Linked DNA regions of Arabidopsis thaliana. The protein of the gene in region 1 interacts with the protein of each later gene in a biochemical or structural test. Each region holds a gene or a part of one and is shown on either strand. Other genes may lie near its edges. The genes, in order: NAP1;2, ESD4 and TERT.

Evidence for each region.
Region 2: of the proteins of NAP1;2 (region 1) and ESD4, one has a biochemical effect on the other in vitro, tested with the Arabidopsis thaliana proteins (one study listed by BioGRID).
Region 3: the proteins of NAP1;2 (region 1) and TERT form a complex in vitro, tested with the Arabidopsis thaliana proteins (one study listed by BioGRID).

The regions. Positions count from the first base shown.
Region 1 is NC_003071.7:8,435,004-8,443,080, reverse strand, and holds NAP1;2 (nucleosome assembly protein 1;2), read right to left. Parts: upstream 4,626-8,077; 5' UTR 4,481-4,625; coding exon 4,435-4,480; intron 4,331-4,434; coding exon 4,287-4,330; intron 4,059-4,286; coding exon 3,963-4,058; intron 3,834-3,962; coding exon 3,741-3,833; intron 3,519-3,740; coding exon 3,431-3,518; intron 3,327-3,430; coding exon 3,265-3,326; intron 3,183-3,264; coding exon 2,998-3,182; intron 2,915-2,997; coding exon 2,737-2,914; intron 2,650-2,736; coding exon 2,606-2,649; intron 2,523-2,605; coding exon 2,306-2,522; intron 2,210-2,305; coding exon 2,192-2,209; intron 2,110-2,191; coding exon 2,041-2,109; 3' UTR 1,580-2,040; downstream 1-1,579. Other genes in the region: RECA2 (recA DNA recombination family protein), read right to left, coding at 1-33, 134-306, 390-477, 644-861, 1,052-1,109, 1,293-1,349; ckl5 (casein kinase I-like 5), read left to right, coding at 6,786-6,861, 6,933-6,973, 7,043-7,112, 7,193-7,341, 7,415-7,510, 7,596-7,666, 7,780-7,841, 7,935-7,998. UniProt on the Arabidopsis thaliana protein: May modulate chromatin structure by regulation of nucleosome assembly/disassembly. May function in nucleotide excision repair (NER). Involved in somatic homologous recombination.
Region 2 is NC_003075.7:9,007,882-9,015,958, forward strand, and holds the start of ESD4 (Cysteine proteinases superfamily protein), read left to right. Parts: upstream 1-4,688; 5' UTR 4,689-4,887; coding exon 4,888-5,637; intron 5,638-5,938; coding exon 5,939-6,015; intron 6,016-6,095; coding exon 6,096-6,189; intron 6,190-6,273; coding exon 6,274-6,372; intron 6,373-6,668; coding exon 6,669-6,758; intron 6,759-6,856; coding exon 6,857-6,976; intron 6,977-7,204; coding exon of another isoform or gene 7,205-7,210; exon of another isoform or gene 7,211-7,223; coding exon 7,224-7,327; intron 7,328-7,619; coding exon 7,620-7,692; intron 7,693-7,853; coding exon 7,854-7,916; 3' UTR 7,917-8,077. Other genes in the region: TS1 (terpene synthase 1), read right to left, coding at 491-787, 877-1,086, 1,216-1,357, 1,673-1,894, 1,978-2,356, 2,432-2,711, 2,800-3,066. UniProt on the Arabidopsis thaliana protein: Protease that catalyzes two essential functions in the SUMO pathway: processing of full-length SUMOs to their mature forms and deconjugation of SUMO from targeted proteins. Cleaves precursors of SUM1 and SUM2, but not of SUM3 or SUM5.
Region 3 is NC_003076.8:5,539,023-5,547,099, forward strand, and holds the start of TERT (telomerase reverse transcriptase), read right to left. Parts: upstream 4,538-8,077; 5' UTR 4,423-4,537; coding exon 4,123-4,422; intron 3,968-4,122; coding exon 3,893-3,967; intron 3,812-3,892; coding exon 3,746-3,811; intron 3,665-3,745; coding exon 3,553-3,664; intron 3,374-3,552; coding exon 3,027-3,373; intron 2,731-3,026; coding exon 2,658-2,730; intron 2,536-2,657; coding exon 2,403-2,535; intron 2,218-2,402; coding exon 2,082-2,217; intron 1,819-2,081; coding exon 766-1,818; intron 594-765; coding exon 64-593; coding exon of another isoform or gene 48-63; intron 1-47. Other genes in the region: AT5G16860 (Tetratricopeptide repeat (TPR)-like superfamily protein), read left to right, coding at 4,812-7,364; AT5G16870 (Peptidyl-tRNA hydrolase II (PTH2) family protein), read right to left, coding at 7,953-8,002. UniProt on the Arabidopsis thaliana protein: Telomerase is a ribonucleoprotein enzyme essential for the replication of chromosome termini in most eukaryotes. It elongates telomeres.

The DNA.
Region 1 (8,077 bases):
CTCAAGTTCTCCTTTAGGTACAAGAGCAGCCACCTGTAAAACAAAATCACATGAAAACATGAGAGAGCGAAATATAGATCCAATAGCAAAAGCATCAACCCATTATCCATCCCATATAAATCACCTTACTTACACTGTCAACTACAATAACATCAACTGAACCACTTCGGATTAAAGTATCCACAAGACTAAGGGCCTGTTCGCCACAATCAGGCTGTGATAGAAGCAGATTTTCTGTATTTACACCGATTGCCTTAGCAAGTGACGAATCAAGAGCATGCTCAGCATCTACAAAGACACAGGTTCCTGTATGCAAAAAACTTCTTTAGGATACGACGTATGGCTCTGTAAAGAACATAGCCGAGGAGTTAAAAGAAACAAGGAATAACCTCCTTGTTTTTGTGCTTCTGCAATAACATGAAGAGCAAGTGTTGTCTTTCCCGATGCTTCAGGACCATATATCTCCACAACACGCCCCTATGGAATTCACAATGGGGAGACCAATATTATTAGATTCTTCAAAGAGAATACAGACTTATACATAAACCTCAATTAACTTAGCTAATAGAACCAACCTATAAAAACTCTAAAACACACATATTGGGGAAAGAATAATATCACCAAAAGAGATAAGTATATATACCTTAGGAAGGCCACCAACTCCCAAAGCTACATCAAGGGCAAAAGATCCGGTAGAGAAAACCGGGACATTTCTAGGAGAAACAGCACGACCGAGATACATTATGGACCCTTTGCCAAATGAACTGGTAATCTGATCAAGTGCTTGCTGAAGAGCAATCTCCTTTTTCGACATACCTTCTTCAGATGATCCATTTCCATCTGACTTGGATTTCTTTTTAGCTTCAAAACAAAAACAATTGCAGAGTTAATGGCAAAAACCTCAACTTTAACAACCACAGTGAGCTAAGCAATCAGAAACGCAAACGGATTTAGCTCTAGTAATCTGTGGAAATACATATATTCATCAAAATCAAAAACCAATTTGAGTAAAATCGATTCATAGAAACAAAAGGTAAAAGCTTAAGACAACCTTTGGCAGCAAAGCCTCGGAGCTGAAACGATGTTCCAACCACACTTCTTCTAAGTAACTGCAAAACCCCATGAAACCCTTGTCAATAAACATTACCCAGAAAAAAAGAATGAATTCAAATTAAGAGACAACATTTCGGATTCTTTCTCATGAATGAATACCCAAATAAGCAATGAAAACGACAGTAACAGAGTTTTTTTAATTTCTCGTAATACCCAAATGAGAAACACGATAAACATACCTCTGACGAAAACAGAGAGCTTCTCAGTGAATAAACGTTTCGGAGAATCCTCGCCATAGAAAAGCACTAAAAAGCTTCTTCTCCACTTTTTTAAACCACAGATACAGAAACAAACCAAAAACTGGAAAATTCCAACTACCCAGAAGTCAGACTTGTATGAAAACGGAGAAGAAGAGAAATTTCACTGGAAAAAAAAAAGGAAGAGTTTTTTAGGGTTTTAGGTTTTCGTTTCCCTCCGTTTCAACTATTTTTTTTGGGTTTCTGTTGATCGGTCTTTTACAAGTCGGCAGAGATGTTTTTGACTTTTGTCTTTCCCAGAGAAACTCAAACCGATGTCTAAACCGGCTCATTGATGGGTTATGCAAACCGATAAATAAGATTGATTGGTTTTAATTATTTGACGGTTTGGTAATGTTGGTTTATAAAATTCGATCAATCTTAAGTAAACTAGATTGTCTCACAAATTCTCTCATTAACGAGGGAGGATAAATAGAATTGAATTCGAAATCTGACCAGAGAACGACATTAACTCGAAACAAATTCATAAGATCATTACAAAAGGAAAAATCAAGAGACACAAACCAAACCAAAGAACCCATTTTTTTTTTTTAAATAGCAAACCAATCACCCAAAACTGATATATAATAAACCGGACCATGACTCTGCAAATTAAAGAAACACAACCTCGGCTCAAAGACACTCTTCACTCTTCTTCTTCATCATAACTAAGCCAAGATTCTTCACTTCTTCACTGCTGCTTACATTCCGGTGGCCTCTCACCTGCTTGACCTTCCGCAAGTTGACTTCTTCCAGCCTTCTGTTCATTAAAAAAGGATACCTCAGGTTAGCCATTGCATTATCAACAAAAAAAAAAGATCGAGATTGATTGATTGTTAAACCTTGTGCCCAGCTGATGACTGCAACAAAACAAAAGATAAACCACCAAATCAGTTTCAGAGGTTTTAGTTTCCTATGTAGGAAGGTTTTAAGTAGAACAAAACCACATAATTTACCTTCTTTTTGCTCTTCTTTCCTTGATCTGCTTCTTCCTCCTCGTCATCATCCTCATCATCCTCCTCCTCGTCATCCTCATCATCTTCCTCGTCCTCTTCATCATCATCTTCATCAATCTCATCATCGTCGTCCTCAATATCAAGGTCATCTGCCTCAACAGCTTCACCAGTGAACCATGACACAGCATGCGAGATGATTTTCTCTTTGATTGTTGAACTACAGGATAAACAGTGGACAGACTCAGATCCTAGAACTGAACTAAGTGAAGAGAACTGAATATGAAATAGAAAGGTACACACCCGATATCATAATCATGCTCCATTTGTCCTTGGAGTTCATCAGCCTGTGAATATTAGATGATCAGATTAAAATCCAACACAATCTTAATTACTGACTCTAAAAACTAAACTGCTTATGGAGATGGAAATACCATGTCATCATCAAGATCCTCATCATCGTCAGGAACTTGAGGTGGACTGAAAAAGTTGAAGAAACTCTCACAGTCCTCAGTCTTAGTGATCGGCTTTGTGTTTTTGGATCCTTTCTTTGGCTTCTTTTTTAGAATCTTCTGTGTCAAACACTTTCCAGGATACCACTCAATCTCCGTCCTGAACAGCAGTAAACGACAGTCAATAAAGACTTATTGTCTTCAGAACATAAACAGTAAATACTTGATAGAGCAAAACATTACCCGAGGGCCTTCTCAAGGATAGGCTCATCTTCATCAATCATGTGATATGTCTTGGTCAAGACAGTGTTCTTGAAGTAAGGATTCTGATCAAAGAAAAACTCAAGCTTGAACCCTTTTGGTTCTTCAACCCTACTCCACTTGATATCTTTGAGATACTTGAGAGCCCCTTCATCTCGCTCAGTTATCTAAAACCGTGGAAAAAACCACATAATGATAAAGAGAATCGCCATTTTATAAACCAAAAAGAAGAATATTCTAATAACGAACCTCTTCCGCAGTAATTTCATTGTTCTTCAATGCAATAAGCCAGAAATCTGGTACTCCTTTCTCTGCAGAAAGACAGTTTCATATCATATAAAAATCATGAGTTCACCATCATCATCATAAGATACTAAAAATAAACATGTTTCAGTAAAAGAATCGATAAACACACCTTCAGCTGATTTATCTTCTCCTTGTTCGGATTTTACTTCTTCAGCTGCACCTTCAACTTCGACCACACCATTCACAATCTCATATCGCTGTGATGCAGAAGGCAGAAGACCATCAATATCAGTTACAATCACGAATGATGCAGAAAGAAGTGAAAACCATGAAGCACTAATCATTCACGTAAGTAGCAACAGAGAGAAGTCTTATTAAACCTTTATCAATTGAGGTGTCATCATGTGTTTCAAAGATATTCTAATAATAGGAAACTAAAGACCATAAGAATCTCGCAGAATCAAAGACCGTATTCAAACCTTGGTATATAAAGGCTGATATAACTTTTGATACTTAGCTTCAAGAGCTGCTCTCTCCTCAAAGAATTTTGCTTCCATCTCATCATATTGGTTCTGCAAAGGTTAAAATACAAAAGGAATCAGATAAATTTGCTCCACCAAAAACTCATTAGACCTGAACAGCCAGCTAATTCAAAACCAATACAAAATCCAAGATCATCTAAAAGCTGAAAATTTACTCACCTGAATCTCTCTTAGAAACTCGACACGCTTCCTGACTGGTGGAGTCAAGTTTTCAAGGACATCAGAGTGTTGTCCAGCCAAATTCTGCAACTTGTTCTGCAGCAAACACGTAAATCAAATCAGGAAAAGTCACAAACTTTCAAACAACCAAATTAAGATGCATAGACAATCCTCAAAACCAAAGTCAAATTCTCTAAGCCATAAGAATCAAATCAATTTCTCAAAACTAGTCAGGAAGAGAAAACAATCCCTAAAAGTTACAAAGATGAATAGCCCAATCTCCAGATAGTCATACGCAAATCATATCGTGAAGAAAAAACTCACCTTAAGAGCATTAACAAGCCCGGCACGATCCTCCTCGTTAAGAGCTATAAGCAAAACACAAAACAAGAGAAGCTTTTTTCAATAAATCAAGAGAACAAAAGAGAATCCAGGCCTCATTCTATAGGACAATAAGATTATAATATCTTACCGGTGGAGAGATCGGACATGTTCATGCTGTCCTTGTCGTTGCTCATCTTCGCAAGAAAAGAATCTGGCGGAGGAAGAGGAAGGATAAGAAACCTTAAAACCCTAGATTTTTGGGGACAAATACGAGACAGAGAATATATATATAAATAACTAAAAGGGCTTTGAGAAAATGACCAGACCGAAATAAGACACAACTAAAGCGAAAATAACAAATTTTTACATCAAAATTTGGCATGAATATTTGTTTTTAACATTTAAGAGCATTTCTGTTGATTTTTTTTAAAAAAAGGCTTTTAAGAGCATTTCTATTGGTTAGAAGAAATCTAGGTTGCATGGAAACTCGCCCCGAGGTCTATTTCCCATTTCCGAAACGTTACGAAAACAGAAACTCTCCGGAAACATGAAAAACGTAACGGAAACGCGTTTTTTAAAAATTTATGTTTGGAAACACGATGGAAACTTACGTTTTAAAGATAGAAACTCATGTTTCCCAAATAGACATACGACAAATTTTTTTCAACTTTGAAAATTTAATAACTAAAATTAAAATTATTAAAATTATTAATACATATAACTAATTTTGGAAGACTTTGAGTTTTAAGATATTTCTTTTGATAAACCAGATTTGAAAAGAGCTTTATATTATCTTTGATGAAACTAATGAAAATGAAAATGTTGGTCTAAATTAACTATTTGAACTTGAACCTTTTAATTTTTATCTTTTAGAATTTTAGTTTATTTATTTAATATTGATGTTTTGGACTTGTATTGTTTAAACCATTTTTTCTTTAATATAGTTTTATGTTAATGTTATATATATATATATATATATATGTATGTATGTGTATACGTTTCCAATCCCTAATTTTAAGAAAAAATCGTTTCCAATCCCTAATTTTAAGAAAAAATCGTTTCTCGTTTCCGAAACGTTTCGTATTCGCGTTTTCGTTTCCATTTCATTGCAACATAGGAAGAAACTCACGAGTCTTTTGATGATAGAAGTTTATTTATTTAACTAAAAATTTATTTATTACAAAAGTTTAACCTAATCATCAAAAAACAAATGTATATAAAAAAAAAGTATGTCATGAGTTTCTCAAGTGAAAAAAGAGTCTACTTTCTTTTAGCTCGAAGACAATTCTCATATTCTCATGAATGCTAGCTGATCACATGTTAATGCTTAATCTGGATTGATGCATTGTCATGAGTCACTCAAATTTCATATTAGCACACTATAGTAAGCAAATCTGATTGGAAAACATCTAGTGAGATGCTGCTTTGTTAGTTTAGGGAAAAATGCTTATTTGGTCCTAAAGATTTCGACTTAAGAATAGAGAAATGGTAAAAAAATGTAGAACATCATGCCAATCAAATGATACAAAAGTAACATAACCACCAAACGCATTTGCATGATCTATCTAATATTATATGTACCTATTTTGGTTTAAGGTCATTAATAAACTTGTTGATTAGTTTTTAATAATTTTGTAAAGTTTCTCAAACAATTTCTTTATTTTTATGATATTTTTCACAACTTTATTTTGTAAAAAAAAAGGGTATGATATTTTTCACAACTTTATTTTATAAAAAAAAGGGTAGAAAGTCATAAACCAATAACACAATAATTTAATTCATTATAATAATCATAGATTCTTTGTTTTAAATGAATTACACAAAAAATTTAATAACTTTATAAAAATATGAATCCAATAACTCTACATTTATGAAGATTTTATATTACTTTTTACAAATCTTAAACTAATAACACCAAACTTTAACAAAAAATTGAAAAATCTTTATTGAATAACAACAAATTCTTCATAACATTTTAAGTCACTGAAACTTCGAATACATCACAAACCAATAACACTCCCTAAATAAATTTATATATATTACTAGAAGTCTGGTTATTTGTTTAAATGTTAAAAGATATATGAATTTGTAAACTTAAGAGATTTATGGAATTTAGGAAAATATAAAAACAAAATCCTTATTCTTATTATAAAGTTTCTAAGAAATATACTGTATATTTTTTTCACCGAATAAAGATATTTAATAAATTGAGAAAAGGAATAGAAAAGACCAAAAGCAACAGGCTAAGCGAGACACACACACACGCGCAGTCTTCTTCATCTTGCTTGCTTCTGGTTGCTTAACCAAAACACCATGGAATCTCCCTAAATTTCCTCACCTACTCACTTCCAATTTCAACCTGCTCGATTCTTCCCCTCTTCTTCGCAAAAGCCCTAGTTTTGATCATCGCACTTCACTCTCCTCCGCATGAGAAATCGAGAAATCCGCTCGACGTAGTAGATAGATAAAACCACAAAGTTAGGGTTTTTTCAATTGGGTATGGAACCTCGTGTTGGGAACAAGTTTCGCCTTGGCCGCAAAATTGGGAGCGGCTCTTTCGGAGAGATTTACCTCGGTTCGTTCCTCCCCTCTCTATACATATAAAATCTCTTCAATAGTCGTTTGATGAGACTGTTTTGATTGCAGGAACTGATGTTCAGACTAACGAAGAAGTTGCTATTAAGCTTGTGAGTGTTTCATCTCTTCAAAGTCCCAACTTGGATCATCAAAACTTAGTTTTTTTTGTGTGTGTGCAGGAAAGTGTGAAGACTGCGCATCCGCAATTGTCATATGAGTCGAGGATATATAGAGTTCTTCAGGGTGGAAGTATGCAATGAAATGTTTATCTCTATTGTTATTGAATTCTCATTTGGTTATTCATTTCTTGTGTATGTTCGTTAATGTAGCTGGGATTCCAAATATGAAATGGTATGGTGTTGAGGGGGACTACAATGTCTTAGTCATGGATTTGCTTGGTCCAAGTCTTGAAGATTTGTTTAGTTATTGCAAGAGGCAGTTTAGCTTGAAGACTGTTCTTATGCTTGCTGATCAAATGGTAATTATGCTTTGGATTGGTGTCTTGTCATTCTTAATGTAACTCTCTCACTGTTGGGTTTATCTTGTGTCAGATAAATCGTCTCGAGTTCATTCATTCTAAGTCGTATCTTCATCGTGATATAAAGCCGGATAATTTTCTCATGGGCTTAGGGAGGCGGGCAAATCAGGTTTTCTTACTTTTGCAAATTCTCTCAGTTGGATTTGTTTTTGGGGTCTCGCTATTGTATGACTGATTTTGGTCTCTTTCTCTAGGTCTACATCATAGACTATGGTTTGGCTAAGAAATATAGAGACAGCTCAACTCATAGACATATCCCATACAGGTAACAAGATTTTGGATGTCACAGATTCAGCATTTTCAGCATATTGTATGTCAGCTTCAGATTTCCTGACAACGGGTTCTTTATTGTTTGGATTTTACGTGTAAATGATTCAGGGAGAATAAAAGTCTAATTGGGACTCCGAGGTATGCCAGCTTGAACACTCACCTAGGGATTGGTATACTCCATCACTTTCTATAAACCCTCATGATAATCGCGGATCTTTTTCTCCTCTTTCACTGATTACTTTTTGACATTTTTCACTTGGTAGAGCAAAGTCGGAGAGATGATATAGAATCGCTTGGTTACATCCTCATGTATTTCCTCAAGGGAAGGTGAGAGTCATTAAGTAACTTTTCTTTCTGTTCTGATTCTTGTCTCCCAATCCATCTCTAATATCTTATTCTCTTGTAG
Region 2 (8,077 bases), on another chromosome or scaffold:
AATCTGTCAGATGCATTGTATCATATGGAAAGACAGTTTCATGAAACACCACATTACGAGAGACTGAAATGATATTAGTATCAAGATTTAAAACCAGATGCATAACCTAAGAAAACACATTCATTTGCACGTTGACTGGACTTATGTCTATCTTTCTGTAAAGTAGAAACATAACATAAACAACCAAAGCAACGTAAGAAATCATAAGCAGAGCTTTCTTAGTTAACAATTCTATTGGTGACAAGTTTTTCAGTAATCGAGATGGAGTTCTATTTATCAGAAAAAACTGCAGTTTTAGAAGACTTCAAAAAAATAAAAAAACTTCGTAGAGTTATGAACAAATTTGTGGGGTTCAAATGATGTGAATTCCGCTAAATTGTTGGAGACATGATTCTTCCATCAGATCTCCACACATTTTGTTATTCAATTAACAAAAAAAAAGATAGAAATAGAAGCTGAAATAAAAACCAAATATACTAATTATATTGTTTCAAAGACGAATAAGATCAACAAACAAAGATGTGATATGATCCTTAAATCTTCCTTCGGGATGTGTGTATTCTTCGCCAGACCTATAAGTGAACTCTATCATTTTTCCAAAATCAATGGCCCGCTTTAGAATTTGCCGCGGCACACTCTTTGTTGTCTTTAATATCTCCTCGTTCACAGTTGTATCCAAGTCCCTAGCCATCTTTTGAAGCCTTGTGAAAGTTTCCTCCTCGGTAACTTTGTATTGCTTCATATAGTACATGATGGCATTAACATCAAACCCTCTGCTCATGTCACCCTGTTAGATATTACTAGTCATGTTTAACGTATAATGTCTTGATCACTAACCAAACAAGAAGAAACGCTTGATCATACAATTTTTGGTACCTCAAAGCCGGCTATGTCATTCATTAGACGAGCCCTTTTAGCCTGAGCCTCAACAAATTTTGGTCTGGATTTTAGCCATTTATAAGCTTGTTCCCTAGAACTTTGTCCCAACCCAAGAAAACTGCATGCTATACTTACATACATTGTTACTTCGACTCCTCCAATCTCCAAGTACTCGTCAAATGTAGGCACCACGTCTCCTTGTTCCCACTTGGTAAAGCAAAAGTTGGATCTTAAGTATACCTTGAACTGCTTATTAGGAGCATATAGAAGCACGTTAAACAACATCTAACTATTTAATTTTTTGATATTTGGATGTTACTTATATATATACACTACCTCTTCAAGTGCACCTTGCACGTCATAAGACAATCCCTCTTCCATTATGCCTGCGTTTTCACACTCTTCGAAAGTATTCCAAGCGAACTTGAAGACGGTTTTCATATAATCTGGTAAACTGTCCATGCAATCTGGATCCCATCTGTACATGCATACTGAGATATTTGTACGGGATATATATTCACCAAAAAAATTTACCCTATGATCTATTATATATGAAACCATATTTCTAGAAAAATTTGATTTCTTAATGTTTTGTGTTCATATATTTTATGATTTTACATAGATATTAAAGAAATAGACAGAATAAATATATTTAGTCACGTAAAGTATTGGAATAATTAATGTATTTGATTTCACTTAGGATCTCTAATCTATTTCACTAGGATTTTCTTTCATGGTTGGGTTGGCACTGGCCTTTGAGATAAGATACGCATTCGTGTTTGGATGATGTTACCTTTCCACGCATTGAACAAGAGCTGCAACTTCAGAAACATTACCGTATCTATCACACGTGTCATCAACAAGGGTGAAGACTGTGTTGATCTTAGCTAGTGAAACTCTCCCAAGTGAAAATTGTGGCTCGAAATATATCATTATTGCAAATAAATAGCATTCGATCAATCTATCCCTGAAGTAAGGTGGGAGTTTAGATGCAAGGTCTTGCTGCTTCCACCATCTGCAAAACATGTCAATGACTATTGTCAACTTGTATCGCAAAAAACATATAGCTAGAAGCACGAAAAATCTAGAGTATAGTACTTGGTCAGAGTTTTCAATTCTTGAATCCAATTTAGCTGCAAAAACTTGAAATTGATCTTGGCAAATCTAAGTAGCATCTTGTTGTGATCTTCTTCTTGTTCATAGAAAGAAATGTATTCCCTCGCGAATATCATTTCGGCATTGTAATGTTGAGGCATGCAAAGAGCATTTCGTATACGCATTAAGATATGGGGAGAACTTGCTCCAGCTCTAGCTAACGACTCCAAGTTTCTTGTAGTGAAGCTTAACGCTTCCTCCAAGATATCTTCTCTTGTTGTCCTTAAGTGAGCAGCTTCATACAAACTCACCATGCCCTTGACATCACTGGTTATAGATTCCATAAACTTTTCATTCTCCCCTTTGAATCTCTTGAAAACATCTATTGGTCAATAGGAGAATCTTGTTAATACATATGAATCGATTACAAAAAAATGTACTGGTAGATAACTTTTACCGGTAGACATGTTGTAACCGTATGTCCTGAAAACCCAAAACATGATGGAAATCGTGTACAAATCATCTTCACCGGCTATCATCTCCTGTATCTTTTCAAAACCCTCTTCTAGACTCTGCTCAATCTCATCTTCAAAGTGAAACGCTACACCAAGGCTCACAAGCATATATATGAAAAGAATCCTCTTCTTGGTCGACTCAATGCTTTTCGAAGAAAACATGAGCATCTCCCCTACTTCCGGCTTTAGTCTCTCAATCTCTTGGGCAAGGGCATTCATTTCCTAACAATAATATCATATGTTCATACCCGTTACATCGATCTTTTACATTTATTATATATATGTTTGTCAGTGTGTATTATAGACTCACCGAGACATCAACTTGAGCAGAGAGGAAATGGTGACCCCATTTTGAAAGCGGCAGTCTCTTGAACTTGCGATTACTTTCTTGATCATGACAGGCCCGAGTAGGGGTGGCCTTCATGCGAACAAGCTTTCCATGCTGACCTGAAAATGACTTGTGGGGAAAGCTAGAGAGTTTTCTTACCGAAAATAAATTGGAACGTAAAGGAAGAGAGAGTATAGATCCATAAGCTGATATGCATTGCATGTTTACTACTAGTGATATGGAATACATTTTCACCACCAAATTTATAGGCAAAACATAAGCGTTTTCATTAAGTCATCTTTTGAAAAGTTTTGGAAGAATGTATATTAATATCCCCATATTTATCTTCTTCAGTGTATAATACAATCTATGTTGGGACCATGATATTTTCTGAATTTATAGTGATATTAGTTTATCTTTAAATTGATATTTATTAATCTATATAGATCTTTTTTTAATTATTTAATTTTTTAAAGAATACGAGTTGACACAATTCAATATACATCAAATTAATGACTTGGATGTTGAAATTTGTGTAGTATTAGAATTGAAAATTTAATATTTCAAAAAACTCATTTGACAATAAATCACAATGACTATAACTGAATTCATTTATATAATAGATATACATACATCTAAGTTTATGATTAATAACCTCAACTATCAGATTTTTAAATGTAGTAGACTATTGAAATGAAAATAATGCAGATTAAGAAGTTGTATACTTATAAAAACTTATGACTAATTGTATTAGGAAGTTATAAACGATACTACAATATGATAGTTTTAAAACACAACATAATTTAATGAAAATTAGAGACAAAATCATTGTTTGATGTAATAATAGTTCAAGACAAACTCTAACAAACATTCAATAGTTCAAAAAATATTTAAACTATAGATTATATATATTATCGTATATATATTATATTTTTGTGGTTATTAATTTATGATGTTATTAAAATCATATTTTTTATATAGGGTTTTAAAAAATTGTTAACTTATTATTTTATCAAATTATGTTAAATTTTACATTCACACGACTTGAAACTAATATAATATTATCTTCTTGTATTTATTAATTTATCAAAAATTAATTTGTAGAGGTTTTACTGTAAAACATGTTTAGTTTTTCATTTTTTAAAAAACCTCCAAGTGGCAAAAATAAGATCCATCTCCATCTAAAAAAGTGCAAACAAATCTCCATCATTTAAAAATCAACGTTAACATCCATATCTATTGTTGTTGTTTTTTACTTCTTTTTCTCTTGGTCAAACTCTACGTTAGTTTGATCAATAAATATGACAAGAATTTTTGCAGTCTCATAGGCGTCTTTGTAAAGGTTAGTTAGCGTCTACATAATTTTCCGAAAGATATAATTTTCTTGAGATACAGTTAACTCAATTACTGAAATGTAATAACTTTCTAAAAGTTGTGGCTATTAAACAAAATTGTGAAAAAATTTAAACCAAAAGCCACTTCAAAAACAAAGAAAACCATAACCATTAATCAAAATTCTTTTTTTTTTGTTAACAAGTACTAGTTGCATTAAATTGTAAACATATGGTGGTGTTGTATATGTTTGATACAAAGAACCTATATAACAAAGGCTTGTTGGGATAGTGCATCTGCCACATTATTTCTTTTCCGATTGACATGTCCATAGATGAGTGTGATAGCTTCAACATCCAATATCGTATACCACCAAAGACTGAAGAGTAGTACCAAGAATATTTATATATATATTTATTTATTTATTTATTTTGGTAAGGAGAATATTTATATCATGATCCCACCATACTTTAATTGTTATGAAAAAATTTTAATTTGATTTTCATAAATTTTATAGTTTAGTTAAGTATAAAACCACAATTTTTTTTCTTTCAAATATTATTTTTGGAGAAAACCCCCAAATTTAAAAGGAAAGAGAAAAAATCAAATCATTCATCTTTGAGCTTTCTTTTCTTCTACAGAACCCTAATTTCATGTTCTAGGTGTCTCTCGAATGGTTCTCATCTCATTGATTACTCAATCTCTAGGGTTTAGTGGTTCATCCAAATTCGTACCCTAATGGGTGCCGTAGCGATCAATCGTAAACGCAGCGACGAATCCTTCAATTTCATTAATCAACAATCAACCAACCCTTTACGAAATTCACCGTATTTCCAAGCTTCCAAGAAACGAAGATTCTCATTCGCTATGTCTGAAGATTCTGGTAAGCCAGCGTCTTCAAACCCAACAATTTCGAGGATTTCAAGGTACCCTGATGCTAAAGCTCCTCTTAGACGAGAGATTCATGCTCCTAGTAGAGGAATTCTTAGATATGGAAAGGCAAAATCTAATGATTACTGCGAAAAGGACGCAAATTTCTTTGTTCGTAAGTATGATGATGCAAAGAGATCAGCTTTGGAAGCTTTGAGATTCGTTAATAAAGGTAAAGACTTTGTTGATTTGGGTGATGAGGTTGAAAAGGAGGAAGTTGTTTCTGATGATTCAAGTGTTCAAGCAATTGAAGTTATTGATTGTGATGATGATGAGGAGAAGAAGAATCTTCAGCCTTCGTTTTCTTCTGGTGTTACTGATGTTAAGAAAGGGGAGAACTTTAGAGTTGAGGATACTAGTATGATGCTGGATTCGTTGTCGTTAGATAGAGATGTCGATAATGATGCTTCGAGCCTCGAAGCTTATAGAAAGCTTATGCAAAGTGCGGAGAAGAGGAATTCAAAGTTGGAAGCTTTGGGTTTTGAGATTGTGTTGAATGAGAAGAAGTTGTCACTGCTGCGTCAGTCTCGCCCAAAGACTGTGGAAAAGCGTGTTGAGGTGATGAGATTTATACTAATCTTTCTTGAATTGGATATAATTAATGACATTGCTTTGTTTGGATTGTTTCTCTAAAATGCATATGATGTTATCGCCTACTGTTTGTTAGTGTAGACTGAAGATAGTACAATACTTGTTGGCTTTATTGGTTATTAAGCTGCAGTTATTACTTATGCACACAGAGTCAAAGTTCTTCTACTTATTAGAGTATATTGTAATCTTAGCGTTGAGATCGTTAGTGTGTTTCTATGTTTATTGTTGTTGTTAACACTATGTTTGTTGTGTTGTTGATATAATGAAGGTGCCTCGTGAACCTTTTATTCCTCTCACAGAAGATGAAGAGGCTGAAGTCTACCGTGCCTTTTCTGGGAGAAATAGGTATGGTTTCTTAAGACGCTCTAGCATGTTGAGTGATTTTTTTTAGTCTAACCAAAAACCAAATGTCTCCCATTTTTCAGAAGGAAGGTCTTGGCTACTCATGAAAACTCAAACATTGATATTACTGGAGAAGTTCTGCAATGCCTTACACCATCTGCATGGCTAAACGACGAGGTACAACTTGTTCCATAATATTCTACACAATTAAGAGCTCTTAAATCACATTTTCTTTTGCTGATTTCTTGTTCTGTTTTATAGGTTATCAATGTCTACCTTGAACTACTCAAAGAAAGAGAAACTAGAGAGCCCAAAAAGTATTTGAAGTGTCACTACTTCAATACCTTTTTCTACAAAAAGGTTTGTTTTCTTTCTGCTCAGATGATTTTTAACAAAAATTTGATCCTTTTTGCCTCATGTCAGTTCGACTGAGTAGCTGCTACTTGCTTCCATAAAAATGATAAGCAGTATGTTTAAGTGATCTTTATGATAAGATTATTGATATATTTGGCCTTGTTTCTCCCCATGGTACTCAGTTGTCTCTGGCTTCTGTATCCCATGAATGGCAGTGAGTAACCAAGACAAGCTGTGGCCTTCTTATACGTTGATGAATCCTCTGGCACTTAAATCTGTCTTTCTTTAATTATTTTTTTCAGCTGGTAAGCGATTCTGGTTATAATTTTAAAGCTGTCAGGAGATGGACTACGCAGAGAAAGTTGGGATATGCTCTTATTGACTGTGACATGGTAATTTTGTCGAAGAACCTGAATTTGAAGATTCTCTTGTTAATATTACGCATGTAGTCCAATTTATTTATGTTTAACTTAGTCTGTGCCCTCTGCAGATATTTGTTCCCATCCACAGGGGTGTGCATTGGACCTTGGCAGTAATTAACAACAGGGAAAGCAAGCTCTTGTATCTTGATTCACTGAATGGAGTTGATCCTATGATTCTGAATGCTCTGGTATGATTTAATTTCTAACTCTTATTCGCTTTATTTAGTCTATTAATAACTGACATGTTGGATGCATTAAAAGATATTAGATGCTGATAAATCTTTATCATCATTTCTTGATTCTGAAATCTGTTTGGAGACATTATGGAGATGCCAGAAGCTGTTATTGCTTTTTAAATCGGACACTACTGTGAAAGTGTTCTAACCATATATACTAGTCGTTATAGCTAATGCCAGATCTGATATTCTGCTTCAGGCAAAATACATGGGTGATGAAGCAAATGAAAAAAGTGGAAAAAAGATTGATGCTAATTCGTGGGACATGGAATTTGTGGAAGACCTTCCCCAACAAAAGAATGGGTATGTAACTATGCTTGAACTTGCTATGATCCATGATCATGTGAAAGGAACTATCTTGTTAAAGAGATAACCTCTGTAGAATCAGATACTTGTCTTCTGATGTGGGAATATGGGTTTTTAAGACAAAGGATAGATCTGGTTTGAGATTGATTAGGAGAAATTCACCTGATATAAATTTTGATAATGGAATCAACAAGGGTATAACTTAACTGTTCTTATGCTCTTTAGCACTCTGGTTAAGCTCTCTGCTAACTCTATATTGTTTCTTTGTTGCAATCTTTTATATTCTCAGGTATGACTGTGGAATGTTTATGCTTAAGTACATCGATTTTTTCAGCAGAGGCCTGGGGCTATGTTTCAGCCAGGTAAGCTATCAGAATCCAAATCTCTGAATGCCTCAAGAAACTGTAGTTGAGAATAAAAACTGGTTGTCTTGAAACAATATGGAATTAGTATATCCCCCTAGCAGTTTATGTAACTTGTAGGATTTAGGCATTTAGCGTAATAACATTGTATTACTTTGCAGGAACACATGCCATACTTCCGACTCAGAACAGCTAAAGAGATTCTGAGGCTACGAGCTGATTGAAGTTGCTTGTGCTAATGTTTTTTCGGCTATTAGGAATACTATTTTTGGTTGCCATTGTTGATTTGTTCAAACTTTAAATCCCACTCCTTTTAGGCAGTGAAGCACTCGGCTTTAAAAGCAGAGGTAAAAACTGAGTCAAGCCCAGAGCTCTTAGCTCGTTC
Region 3 (8,077 bases), on another chromosome or scaffold:
AGCTGAGGAAACAGAGCCAAACAAGTATACTTATGAAGGAAACATACAGGAGATGAGGCAGACCTTGTGTAGTCAACTTGAACTTCAAATGTGCGGGAATTAATAAGCAAACCCGTCCATCTGACAAAAGGAACTCCATTATCTCCCACAAACATTCTATTAGAAGAACACCTATGTTCTTCTTTATCTTCAAAATTTATGCAGAATTTTGTTTCGTTCATGAAGCAGTTGTAATCTTTAAATCCATGCTTCAACCTGTGATAGAAGCTACTCGCCTGATCTCTTGAGGTAGACACAAAAAGGTAGTCATCAATAAATCTCAGTAACTTATAGCTCGTGGGAATTATAAGCTCTTCCTCTCTACTGCATTCTTTAGAAGACACATCTTTAGAGGCTTCTTCGAGGAATGGGTAGATCAAAGTCCTCTCGAGATGCCCGTAGTAAAAACAACATAACAAGGATGATAATCTGTGTCCCTGAGGTATTCCAGCTATTTGTACATAGAAGCTTTTATCCAACTGCAGCATGTTGTTCTTTAGCATATTTCCTATCCAAACCATTAGATCCTTTTTCCTCACTCGATGGTTTTCTCCCTAGAAGGTTGGACCAAAACCATAACACCGTTAAGCAAATAAGTAAAGAACAACAGGGACGCTACAAGCACTAAGAAAAGAGATCTCTAGAGATTTTTTTAAGTAGTCCAATAGTTTTGTATTTTACCCTCTGCAAAAAGATCAAAAAGCTCTAGGTCAAAAAGAAGCATACCTTATCAACCACGATACTTTGCAGTGCATTATATGGAACAGTTGATGTGAATCTTGAAAAGTTAGAATTTTTGTCACTCGAGACTAGTATTTTGTTTACCCAATTGGATCTCTTCCCACAGCAGACCAGCCTACATCTGTTTAAGATGTATTCATCTTTCAGAAAACTTTGAATGACATGAAGCAGCTTACCCTGGTCGACTGAATCAAATGCTTTGAATACATCCGCAACCACAAAGTACAAAGGAGGAAGTTCTCCAGATTGACTTCTTAAATGGATCAGATATGGGCATAGGTTTCTGTAGAAATCATCATGGTCAAAGACAGAAGACCCAAGAACATCTGGTTCTTTGAGCTGGATGTCCTTCAAAACAGCATGTGTATCACGAAGAGATTGCGACCTTGACGAAGAACTAAAGTCTAACACCATCCTCACACCATTGGCCTTTGGTAAAAATCTAAACTTTGATAGCTTCTTCCTGCTACTTTCAGCTTCAGCATCGTCTACTAGGACATATCCATCAAGGGCTTTGCTAATTTCTTTGCTTATTAATCTTTCCCAGCTCCTTTTCCGGTAATAATAAATATTTAGCCGTCCTCCTTGGCTTTCAGTGGCATAGAAGTTGAAGTGCACCAATTTCTTGACAATCTCTAAAAAAAGCCAAGAAATCCATTTCGTGCACAACATCTGCTGTGTACTTCTGATGGATTCACTTTGGAGTTCATGTCCGTTGACCATACAGCATAACTCTTTTCTAGCAAAGAATGGGAAATCTGATGGTTTCACTTTATGCAAAAACTGATTCACTGTGCATTTCTCATTTCGTCGCCTTGAAACAAACCACGCTATATTTTTCCTAAGCACCCTCATCTGATGAGTGGTCCCAAGCAAACTTTCTGGAACAATGTACCTACAGATGGCCCAAATAAAGGAAACTACTTGGTCGTTCGTGCAATACAGCTTCCTTTCTTCAACACTGGGACATTTGGGTTTTCCCGTTTGTGATGAACTTGATCCATGAGGCAGCTTATCTGCTTTTTGCCTCCTTGAACTCTGTAATACAAGATATGCAAGGTTCGTCACTTCAAGGAAGCACTTGGAAGTGCCACGGATATGAATTCTTATGCAGGTTTGCACTATATATCCAAAGTCTATAAAGTAGCAACTGTGTTGATTTTCCATTTCTAGTTTCTTTTTGTTGTACATATTCGAATATTCAACATAACTTCTCTGAAATAGAAATACTCAAAAGACATCAAACGAAAAACGCTAGGGAAATTAAATATGAAAACCATCTCTAAAAGAAAAATATCAACCTGAGAAGTCGTTCCGGACTTCAATGCATCCTCTTGCAGCAAGAGAACAGGACAGTGTTTGTCTAGTAGCATTTTTAAATGTGAAGACTTTGTTTTTCCTATTAGATTTTTAAGAGACTTGAGCAATGAATGGTATCTGCAAATCAATGTAAAAGACATCATGATATCATTTTCTTCTTTGCATCAGTTACCTCAACAAAACTTTTAAACAAATTCCTTTTATAACTCAGACTACTTAGATATGTGCTCTACATTATCTGAATACATGCTCCAAGTCTCAGAGTAAGCCGAAGAACTTACAAGAATAAATGGATGACTTACAAGCAAATAGATCCACTGGGGCAATTGCCTTTGCCATGAGATGGCGTCGTTGACCAAACATTTACTTCACCAAATATATGGTTCATTAGGAGCTTTGAATCAGAGCAGTTGGGCCTCAAGGTTTTTAAAATGTCTGTATATCATAAGGAATCATTCACAATGCAGAAGAACTGTATAGAGAAGAGTAACGTTTAAACTTCCATCAAGCTATCGTTGCTACAAGTCATTGAACATGTCAAAACCACTGAAGGATACGGTTTGGTGGTATAACTGAATACGTTTCTGAGAGGCCAAACTTGAAATTCTTGTTTCTTTTAACCTGTTTAGCCTACAAAAAACAGTGATTAAATCTTACAAATACAAGAACAGATTGTCGAATTTGAAGGTAATGAAGTGTCAGGAAGAATATTAATAACCACCAGAATACAACAAGATAAATGATACAGTTTTTAAAATACACCAAAGTACAACTACAAAAATAGTCCCATCAATTTCTCAAGGCTGAGGATAAATCAAGAGCAATTTATACACGTCTCTTAGTAATTTTAAGCAATAACTTTATGTTTAAACTTGTGCATTTTCAACTTAAACTTGATTGATCAATATCATTGTTACGAACATTACCTGCTTTACAAAATCAGTGAGACTTCCATTTATACCAATGTGCAGATTCATTTCGTCATTACCAGTTGAGACTTTACCATTTGTACTGGGAGTTATACAAGGAGCATTACAGTCAACTTTTTTGAAATTGACCTTTCTCTGCTTTCGCCGACGCTTAAGATATATTCTTGAACGCTTAGTAGTTTTTTTCTCTCTATGTTGGTCTACATCCTCGCCAACTATGGGCGTAATAGTTGCAGAGTCATCCTTAGGACAGTCATCGACAGCTGAAGAAAGCCACTGCCTTTTCGTTGGTGGCTGAACGTTGTCATCCCTCTTTCTTTTGTTTTCATGGACTGACAATGTCCCTATACCATGGAGAAGGAAAACTTTACTAAGTTAATATGAACTAAAAACCAGAAGTTGATAATCGATAACCAAGCAGTCACAGACAAATCATAAGTATTCAGAGAACCAACAAGAAAGTGGAAGTTTCAAAAGAAAGCCAACAGAAGAGCTCGGATACAAGTTTAATTCTGAGACTCACGCTTATGCTTGATACATAGAGGAGGTCCAGACACTTGCTGGTGTTTTTTCCCTAGTAATGGTAAGAATATTGATGTTTGCTGTAGAAGATAAACCATGACGTCATGACCGACCTATAAACAAGGGAACTTGAATATTAGTGACCGCAAACTCGAATATTGAAAGTAAATCATCAAAAGGGTTTGAGAACAAACCCGCTTGAGAAGAAACTCCCAAGATGAACTTGTCAATAGCTCCAAAATAGGGCTCGACTGATCATACTGTCAAAGGAGACGAGAAATCATTAGGCTAAGAAAATCAGCACTCTACATTGAGTTTGAGAAGGAAGAAGAAGAATTCACCTTATCATATCTGGCACATATCACATTTTGGCAATCACATCCAGATTGCATCATTTCAATAATCCTTTCAACAATCTGATAAACTCAATTGAAGCAAAATGTTTAGAAATCAGCAACATCATACAAAATAAGATAACATAGAGGCATTTTATAAGGAGTAGCCACGTCTTGAAATATCTCAAATTAAGCACTCAAAGCAATGTATAGTACAGTGGGAAGAAGAATCTTACCTCTCTCTGTGACCACCAAGATGTTGGAGAGAAATCCAGAAGCGGAGGGGTTTGTTCGTGAAGTACAACGAAGCAACGGTGAAGAAGTTTACGGTAGTGAATGGGATCATCGGAACGCAGCAGAAACGCCGGTTTATCGCTGCTGCAACCGAGACAACCTTGACCCCGGCATCGGCATTGCTCCGGCTGGATATTCCGGTTAGGAATCAGATCTACTATTGCGTCGTTTAAATTCCTGGCTCTGTTTCCGAATAACCTCCATAGAATCTCCGGTACACGATGTCTAGGTTTACGCGGCATTACACCTTCCTCCTCCTTTCTCTCGAATTTGGAGAGAGAGAAGAGTGAACGAGCTTCGATAATGGAGTCTGATGGTGTGAAAGAGGCGGGAGATTAAAGGTCTTCTGGGTTCTCGAAACTATAAACTGCGATTTTGAAAATTTCAAAACAATTCAAAGCTGAGCTACAAACGCTATCCAAAGCGTCCACTCAACCGCAAACGCAGGTCGCTTAGCACATAAACCGAACCGAAATTCGCTTTAAATTTTAATCGGTCTATTATACTTTCTTCTTCTTTTCACATCCGGTTTCATTACTTTCTTCAAATTTCCAATCTAAAACCGGGATATAACCGAATTGATTTGTTTAGTTTAAACGCAGAAATCACCCGCCACTCTAGTTACAGTAGTATGATCCGCCGCCTTCTCATCCCCAACGCCGCCGCAAAATCTCACCAGTACATTAAAGTCTCTCTCTTCTCGACATCGGCGCCGGAGATAACACCGCCGTTTATTCACAAATGCAAAACCATCTCTCAGGTCAAGCTTATTCACCAGAAACTCCTCTCTTTCGGAATCCTAACCTTGAATCTCACTTCCCACCTCATTTCCACCTATATCTCCGTCGGTTGCTTATCTCATGCCGTATCTCTCCTCCGTCGTTTTCCTCCATCTGACGCTGGTGTCTACCATTGGAATTCACTCATTCGCAGCTACGGCGACAATGGCTGCGCCAATAAATGTCTCTATTTGTTCGGCCTTATGCATTCTCTGTCATGGACGCCGGATAATTACACATTCCCCTTCGTCTTCAAGGCTTGCGGCGAGATATCCTCCGTTCGTTGTGGAGAATCTGCTCACGCGCTTTCTCTGGTAACTGGATTTATCTCCAATGTCTTTGTTGGGAATGCGCTTGTTGCTATGTATTCCCGTTGTCGTTCATTGAGTGATGCACGGAAGGTGTTCGACGAAATGTCTGTTTGGGATGTTGTATCGTGGAACTCTATAATAGAAAGTTATGCAAAGTTAGGCAAACCTAAGGTGGCGCTTGAAATGTTTAGCAGGATGACCAATGAATTCGGATGTAGACCTGATAATATTACCCTTGTGAATGTTCTTCCTCCTTGTGCTTCCCTAGGAACTCATTCACTAGGGAAGCAATTGCATTGTTTTGCAGTCACAAGTGAGATGATACAGAATATGTTTGTAGGGAATTGCTTGGTGGATATGTATGCAAAGTGTGGGATGATGGATGAGGCAAACACGGTGTTTTCGAACATGTCAGTGAAGGACGTAGTATCTTGGAATGCTATGGTTGCTGGGTATTCACAGATTGGAAGGTTTGAAGATGCTGTTAGGTTATTTGAGAAGATGCAGGAAGAGAAAATAAAAATGGATGTTGTTACTTGGAGTGCTGCTATTTCAGGGTATGCTCAACGGGGACTTGGATATGAAGCTTTGGGTGTGTGTAGGCAGATGTTGTCTTCTGGGATAAAACCAAATGAAGTCACGCTTATTTCGGTTCTTTCGGGTTGTGCTTCTGTTGGAGCATTGATGCATGGTAAAGAGATTCATTGTTATGCCATCAAATATCCCATAGACTTGCGTAAGAACGGTCATGGTGATGAGAATATGGTAATCAATCAACTGATTGACATGTACGCTAAGTGCAAAAAGGTTGATACTGCACGTGCTATGTTTGATTCACTTTCCCCCAAGGAAAGGGATGTTGTGACTTGGACTGTGATGATAGGTGGATACTCCCAGCACGGGGATGCAAATAAAGCTCTCGAACTTTTATCTGAGATGTTTGAGGAAGATTGCCAAACAAGACCAAATGCTTTTACCATATCATGTGCCCTCGTGGCATGTGCCAGTTTGGCTGCACTAAGAATTGGCAAGCAGATTCATGCTTATGCGTTGCGCAACCAGCAGAATGCAGTACCGCTGTTCGTATCAAACTGTCTAATAGACATGTATGCAAAATGTGGAAGCATCAGTGATGCCCGCCTTGTATTTGACAATATGATGGCGAAAAATGAAGTTACTTGGACATCTCTAATGACGGGTTATGGTATGCATGGTTATGGAGAAGAAGCTCTTGGAATCTTTGATGAAATGAGGAGAATAGGTTTTAAGCTTGATGGTGTTACATTACTTGTTGTATTATATGCTTGTAGTCATTCAGGAATGATTGATCAGGGCATGGAGTATTTCAATAGAATGAAAACTGTTTTTGGGGTTAGTCCTGGTCCGGAGCATTATGCATGTTTGGTTGACTTGTTAGGTCGTGCTGGCCGGTTGAATGCAGCTTTGCGTCTCATTGAAGAAATGCCAATGGAGCCTCCTCCTGTGGTATGGGTTGCTTTTCTCAGTTGCTGCAGAATCCACGGAAAAGTTGAACTCGGGGAGTACGCTGCGGAAAAAATAACAGAATTAGCATCTAATCATGATGGATCATATACATTACTCTCAAATTTGTATGCAAATGCAGGGCGTTGGAAAGATGTGACTAGGATCAGATCATTGATGAGACATAAAGGAGTTAAGAAAAGACCTGGTTGTAGTTGGGTTGAAGGAATTAAAGGAACTACTACGTTCTTCGTGGGTGATAAAACTCATCCACACGCTAAGGAAATATACCAGGTCCTCTTAGATCACATGCAACGCATCAAGGACATTGGTTATGTTCCTGAAACAGGCTTTGCTCTTCATGATGTAGACGATGAAGAGAAAGATGATCTTCTTTTCGAGCATAGTGAGAAGTTAGCTCTTGCATATGGTATTCTAACAACTCCGCAAGGTGCTGCTATCAGGATTACTAAGAATTTACGGGTATGTGGTGATTGCCATACAGCATTCACATACATGTCCAGAATCATTGATCATGATATTATATTGAGGGACTCAAGTCGCTTCCATCATTTCAAAAATGGATCGTGTTCATGCAAAGGTTACTGGTGATGATGCTCTCTCTATGCACTCTACCAAACACGGAAGCAACCTGAGGGTTTTGACATGGCTACAGCAGATTTCAGGAACGATCTAAAGGGACAAAGAAAGGGATAATAAGCACTGTGTTAAACACCTCATGTAGATTATATAATTTAAGCAAATTTTGTAGATGAATAGCTTTCTTCTTTATTTTTGGTAGATAATCACACTCCATACCATGGGTTTATCTTCAATAAACAAGATCTGTTGTTACATTTGAAATGTTCATATAGCCAACACTCCCATGAACTGGCATTAGAACAAGCCATTTTCTCAATGTGCCAAAAAAGGCTCGAGCTTTTGATACTTCTAATACAAATCCAGCAAAAAAAGATGATATCACCATTGGTAGAGGGAAATGCTACATGCCCATGAAAAATGGGGAAAATGTTTTAAAATGAATATTTCGTCATCATCAGGAACGAGTATACGTAACAACTACAGATTTCTCACAGGTAACCTCGGGCGAACAGAGAAGGTGGAGTTCATGTCTCTCCTTTCTGCTTGGTCCATCTGAGAGATCAGGTTGAAGAAATGTCATATCGAAATTCGAATCTGCTAAAGAAGCTTTAGTCCACCTGTTACTTCATCAACAACTTCGACTGGTCCTGCAGAAGTAAAATCTATAAGCGTTGGAATGTTGTGTTAAGAAATGCTGATAATATCCGATAAACAAATTCTGC